Ovis aries: one gene and its partner. The protein of the gene in region 2 purifies or fractionates together with the protein of the main gene of each other region. This does not show direct contact. Links are inferred from orthologs where the notes say so. Each region holds a gene or a part of one and is shown on either strand. Other genes may lie near its edges.

Region 1 (3,521 bases), on a different chromosome or scaffold from region 2:
GAAAAGGCAGGGCGCACCCTCACAAAGATCCTAGCCACCTGCTCCTGAGGCTGCTCTCCCTGCCCTTGCTATCACTCCACGGCCTGGGCCCACACAGAAAGCAGAGTAAACCAGGAAGGTGACACTGGAGATGAGATCATAATGGATCATCTAAGGGAATTAAATACTATTTCCTATAAACCTGCACATTTAATTTGAACTTTTTAACATATGGTTAAAAAATAGCTACTTCACTGCTTTTATCCCTTTTAGGAGATGGTGACTAGCCCTAAAAAGTTCTGGTCATCTTGGTTCTCTAGCACTCACAAGACCACCAATGAACCTGGAAAGTTGACTGGATGGTCTTACTGAGGATTTATGTTCAGTTTAATTTGGAACATTCCAGGACAGTTGAAAGCTGCCTCTGTCCATCATAACTCACATAGTAACTACTATATCATGGTAACCCTAATAGTTAAGAAATTCAATCAAGATACTTTAAATAAACTGAAGTGAAAAAATAATTTGCAGAGACATTTTTCTTACTTTTAAAAGACTTTCCCACATATGACTTCACTGTATTGCACTGTGCTGACTGTCAGGAAAAAAAAAGGGTAATAAGAAGCTGAGAAGGTAAGGTAAAGAAAACTTGGACAATACAAGGGGTGGTTCTAGAAGCAGGGATCACTGCTCATCTTCAGCAACTGCCTGCCTTGCCATCACTGCTGTGCTCAACTAGAGAGGTTAGAAAAGAATAATACTTTGCAAAGACAGTAACTCTACCTCTATCTATTAGAACAATCTACTTCAACACAGCATTTCTGGATTAGCCCTCTTAATCTTATCCTTGATTCCAGCTTGTGTTTCTTCCAGTCTAGCATTTCTCATGAGGTACTCTGCATAGAAGTTAAATAAGCAGGGTGACAATATACAGCCTTGACGTACTCCTTTTCCTATTTGGAACCAGACTGTTGTTCCATGTCCAGTTCTAACTGTTACTTCCTGACCTGCATACAGATTTCTAAAGAGGCAGGTTAGGTGGTCTGGTATTCCCATCTCTTTTAGAATTTTCCACAGTTTATTATGATCCACACAGTCAAAGGCTTTGATATAGTCAATAAAGTAGAAATAGATGTTTTTCTGGAACTCTCTTGCTTTTTTCACAATCCAGCAGATGTTGGCAATTTGATTTCTGGTTCCTCTGCCTTTTCTAAAACCAGCTTGAACATCAGGGAGTTTACGGTTCACATATTGCTGAAGCCTGGCTTGGAGAATTTTGAGCATTACTTTACTAGCATGTGAGATGAGTGCAGAGTACATCATGAGAAACGCTGGACTGGAAGAAACACAAGCTGGAATCAAGATTGCCAGGAGAAATATCAATAATCTCAGATATGCAAATGACACCACCCTTATGGCAGAAAGTGAAGAGGAACTAAAAGCCTCTTGATGAAAGAGAAAGAGAGCGAAAAAGTTGGCTTAAAGTTCAACATTCAGAAAACGAAGATCATGGCATCTGGTCCCATCACTTCATGGCAAATAGATGGGGAAACAGTGGAAACAGTGTCAGACTTTATTTTTTGGGGCTCCAGGATCACTGCAGATGGTGACTACAGCCATGATATTAAAAGACGCTTACTCCTTGGAAGAAAAGTTATGACCAACCTAGATAGTATATTCAAAAGCAGAGACATTACTTTGCCGACTAAGGTCTGTCTAGTCAAGGCTATGGTTTTTCCTGTGGTCATGTATGGATGTGAGAGTTGGACTGTGAAGAAGGCTGAGCGCTGAAGAATTGATGCTTTTGAACTGCGGTGTTGGAGAAGACTCTTGACAGTCCCTTGGACTGCAAGGAGATCCAACCAGTCCGTTCTGAAGGAGATCAACCCTGGGATTTCTTTGGAAGGAATGATGCTAAAGCTGAAACTCTAGTACTTTGGCCACCTCATGCGAAGAGTTGACTCACTGGAAAAGACTCTGATGCTGGGAGGGATTGGGGGCAGGAGGAGAAGGGGGCAATTGAGGATGAGATGGCTGGACGGCATCACGGACTCAATGGATGTGAGTGTGAGTGAACTGCGGGAGATGGTGATGGACAGGGAGGCCTGGCGTGCTGCGATTCATGGGGTCGCAGAGTCGGACATGACTGAGCGACTGAAGTGAACTGAACTGAATCTTATCCTTAATGTCAGAACTGCATAATTCAATGTGGTAGCCACTAACCACATGTAGTTTTTATTTTTTATTTCTTTTTGGCTGCCAGTATGCAGAATCTTAGTTCCCTGTTCAGAGATGTAACCTGTGTCCCCTGCTGCAGAACAGCAGAGTCTTAACCACTGGATCGCCAGGGAAGTCCCCACATGTAGTTTTTAATTTAGTTAAAATATAAAAATTCATTTCTTCAGCCACACCAGTCTCATTCCAAGTGTTTAATAATCACAGATTGCTAGTAGCTAACATATGGGGACAGTGCAGAAATAAACATCTAGGTTCTGAAGTTGGTAGAAAAGGGGATTCCCTGGTGGCTCAGATGGTAAAGAGTTTGTCTGCAACGTAGAAGACTCAGGTTCAATCCCTGTGTTGGGAAGATTCCCTGGAGAAGGAAATGACAACCCACTCCAGTATTCTTGCCCGGAAAATCCCATGGACGGAGGAGCCTGGCAGGCTACAGTCCATGGAGTTGCAAAGAGTTGGACATGACTGAGTGACTTCACTTTCCTTTTCCTCTAGAGTAGGTATACAAAGTCTAGGCAATGTTAAAAATGTTTTTTCTTCATCATTAGCAAACAGCAGACATGGCATGTTTCCATCCACTACACAAATGTTTACAAACCAATTTTCAAACATCCATAAAGCATTTGCCTATGTTATTACTCGAATAATTTTGGATAATAAAACGAACACTGAAAGTTCACATAAGATAAGTGCCTTCACAATTGAGATAAAAAGATTTCAAATTAACTACATTTTAAGAAGAGGAAAAAAAAAACATACTTCTTTTAGAAAAACATTCTGACTTTATCTTTTCTTGTGCTTCAGGTGCCAGCTCCCAGGAGACACACTGAGATGACCCTGTGTCCCACACACACCGGACACCAGGTCCTGCTGCAAGACAAGCAGCTTCACTCTGGTGTGCTTCACACTGTTCCGATGTGAATACTAGGATGTCACTGAGGAGGAGACTATTAAAACCACCAAATACATACATGGTTCTAAAAGAAAAAAAAAGAGAGAAAAAGAGTTTACTGGAAACCTACATAAACAAATGCATGATACACTTTTTATAATCTTTAGACAAACCTCACATATCAAAAGTCCTGTAAAAAGTAATCTTTCAAGATCTCAAAAATCACTCTTATACCTTACTTCCCAAATTCCAACCTTTCACAATGGCCTATGACTAGTCAGAACAGTTACAATAACCTATCTATTCTTCTGGCTGCTAGCATAGATAAAGGCTCTCTAATCAAAACTGTGTAATGAAAACAGACCAATAAGAAAGAGATGAGTGCATATAGAAATTTAATGCACAGTACAAGCTG
Region 2 (3,521 bases):
TGCACCCCAATGTTCATTGCAGCACTATTTACAACAGCTAGGACATGGAAGAATCTAGATGTCCATAGACAGATGAATGGATAAAGAAGCTATAGAAGATATACAAGATGGAATATTACTCAGCTACAAAAAGGAACGCATTTGAGTCAATTCTAATGAGGCAGATGAACCTAGAGCCTATTAAACAGAGTGAAGTAAGTCAGAAAGTGAAAAATACCGTGTATGTTAACACATGTAAATGGACTCTACAAAGACGGTACTGACGATCCTACTCGCAGGGGAGCAACGGAGACACAGACACAGAGAACAGGCTTGTGGCCACAGAGGGGGAAGGGGGGGGCGGGACGGACTGAGAGAGGAGCACTGAAATGTATGTCATCACACAGAAAGCAGAGGGCTGGCGGGGACTTGAGACCTGCCGCAGGGAGCTCACACTGGTGCTCTGTGACACCCTGGGAGGTAGGATGGCGGGGCGGTGGTGTCGGGGAGGCTCAAGAGGGAGGGGACATGTGGATGCCTATGGCTGATCCATGTGGATGTATGGCAGAAACCAGCACAATACTGTAAAGCAATTATCCTCCAATTAAAAACAAATACATTAAAAAAGACAAAAGAAACAAACCACAAAAAAAGATTCACTTGAAGTGACTTGCCTCTTAAAAAAATGAAATCTTAAGTACCTTTCACTCTCAGCTGTCTGCATGGTCTCTAGTTTTGAGTGAGTTCCTCTGTTAAATCCTTTTACCTCCTGTTCTTCCAACGATTCCAGCAATCGGATGACATCTTTATTCACTCCCCTGCGCTTTGCCAGAACTAGGGGTGTAGCACCTTGATGGTTGCTAAAAAGTTCATAAAAATAAAAATAGCTGTTACACTACACTGTTATTAGCCATTTGTGGAGATCTCAGTGAGGAAGGCATGGGCCCCATTAACTCAAAATTTAAAACCAGAGCAGAACCAGTGGTTGAGATGGAGCCTGAATTTTGAGTTAACCTTTTTTTTCTTTTAGGAAAAAGGAAACATATATACTAGTTAAGAGTAGATAAATGAGAATAAAGAAAAAAAGGGCATCTTCCTAGAAACTAATTGGAAAAGTCTAGATTCTAGATTCATTCTTATCTGACATTTATATATTTCATGAGAAGAGTGTCTATTTTTTAAAATGTCTAAGAACCAAAAGGAAAAAAAACCCAAGCTCAAAAGCAATCAAATAATCTGCTTTGGTTCACCTAACCATTTAACAACAGGAGAAAGCCCAACTAACACTGAACCTTATAGTTAATTCCTACCACATTTTGTTCTATAGTAGCAGTATCATTTACTGTCTTATTCGGATTTAGGGACATTATAGCACCAATAAATTAGGCATAAAAAATGTAGCTTAAAGGTCAAGGTTTCTTTTTAAAGTGACCTGATTTTATTCCTACTCAAGAGACAAGGTATCACAAAAACAAAACAAAAAACACTACTTCAAATTGTTCAGTATAAGAAGGACTCTGAGTCCAGAGAGATAATGAAGCTAGCATGGTATATTACATGATAGAAGGCAAACAAGCTTTGGAACCAGGTGGAACTAGTTTTAAATTCCAACTGTGTTAAGTCATTTAACCCAGAATTCTTGTCTCAGCTATTTCATCTATAAAACGAATACTTAAGAGCTATTCATTCTGAAGGGTAAATGAGCTAACACAGTAAACGCAGTGCCCAGGTCATAATAGATTTTCAACAAATGTTAGTTCTTCTTTTTCCCTTGTCTTATAATACCTAATTAATTAGTAGCAGAACTTAGCCACTATTTTCATAGAAAACTTTACATTGCTTCAGCACAAATCTAGAAGTCAGGCTCCTGTTCCTTCACTCATTGTCCTCAATACCTTTCTGAGCTTGTCACTACACTTGATCAATGAGGAAACAAAATCGATAGATTTCAAGAGTAGACCACTGGTTGAGAGGCTAATGGGAGGAAGTGACGAGACTTCAAAAACCACAGAACTTACCAAATATCAATTTTGAGTCCATTGGAAACCAAGAATTGAATAGTATCCACATGGCCACAGAGATGAAGAGCCGTGTTTCCCTGATAATCAGTGGCCAGGAGATCAGCACCAAATTTATGTAACAACTGGCAGATGTCTACATTCCCTCGGGCTGCTGCGAGGTGAAGGCCTGTTCTGCCCCTGCTGTCGCGGATATTTGGGTCAAAGCCACTTTCCAAAAGCCTCTTGGAGTAGTTAAAGTCTCCATCAATACAGGCCTGCAGCAAGGGTACATTAGTCTGAGAAGAATCATTTACAAAAACGTAGGACATTGTTCGGATGTGGTGGATGGAATGTGCCTGTAAAGAAACATGAGGTGAGTTGAGATTCAGAGAAGCCAAACTAAATCAAGAGAGTGAAGTCATTTAGAAAAGTACTATTTCTTATTCTTCTTGGTCTCCCGCCTCTAATAAATGACTTCACCAAAGAGAAACATCAGAGTTATCAATTATATCTTATTTTCCATTAAAATGTCTAAGTTTTCCCATGTCTGCTGGATCAAAATTGCAATTAAATTATCATAAAGCCCGATTGCAGTTTTCATCATATAAAAAGACTGAGATATTTTTAAAGTAAAGCAAGACATTAAGTGCTTAGGTTTAGCTTTATTACATTGTCAGAAGACACAGACAGGAAGTTCCTTACACGCACACTCACATGCACACACAGTAGTTCTCTTTCATATATTTGCTTCTTACTGTACTTGAGATATTCTATACGGTAAAACAGAATCATGTGCTCAAAAGTTAACTAAATCAGCATGAAAAAAGACAGTTAACTTAATTCACACTCCGTAAGGACCTGCTTGATGCTGTCTGGGGCTTCCCTGATGGCTCAGTGGGTAAAAAGTCTGCCCGCCACTGCAGGAGATGCAGATGTGGGTTCGATCCCTGGGTCGGGAAGGTCCCCTGGTGGAAAGCAGGGCTCCCCACTCCAGTATCTTGCCTGGGAAGTCCCAAGGACAAAGGAGCCTGGCGGGCTACAGTCCAGGGGGTTGCAAAGAGTTGGACACGACGGAGTGACTGTCAGTTTCACTTTCAAATGCTGTTTAGAGCACAGAGGTCAAATTTTAATAGAAAGAGAAAAGCTAAGGAAAGCAGCAAACTAAATTTAAAAACGAGACCTATCATGAAATTAAGAATGTCCATCTTTTTTACAGTACTGATCCTATTCTGCTTTGGTTATTCTATGGTTATCTAGCTACCTGATTTTGCCAAACGCCCACTGTCTGAAGATGGAAAGATGAGGTCTCCATGGGAATAGCTGTGTCCATGCTAATATTGCATCCATCCGAGTAGACTCACTTCACCAACGGGTTTGTCCACACCTCTTTCACTGACACTCCCTGCCCCTAGCAATCTCTCGGGTCTCTCAGTGTACAAGCATGCGTGTGCATCTCTACCCCACCTGCAACCATCTCTTCCTTGATTCGTTTAAGAAAAAGTTAGAGCCTGACAAAAGAAACTTTACTAAGGAGTTAAAGAG

The links.
Region 1: the proteins of ANKRD46 (region 2) and ATRN purify together in Homo sapiens (co-immunoprecipitation; 3 studies listed by BioGRID and IntAct, with this or other methods). This does not show direct contact. The link is inferred for Ovis aries from reciprocal best matches to the Homo sapiens genes ANKRD46 and ATRN.

The regions. Positions count from the first base shown.
Region 1 is NC_056066.1:51,355,632-51,359,152, forward strand, and holds part of ATRN (attractin), read right to left. Parts: intron 3,192-3,521; coding exon 2,974-3,191; intron 1-2,973. UniProt on the Homo sapiens protein: Involved in the initial immune cell clustering during inflammatory response and may regulate chemotactic activity of chemokines. May play a role in melanocortin signaling pathways that regulate energy homeostasis and hair color.
Region 2 is NC_056062.1:76,762,059-76,765,579, reverse strand, and holds part of ANKRD46 (ankyrin repeat domain-containing protein 46), read right to left. Parts: intron 2,336-3,521; coding exon 1,998-2,335; intron 840-1,997; coding exon 681-839; intron 1-680.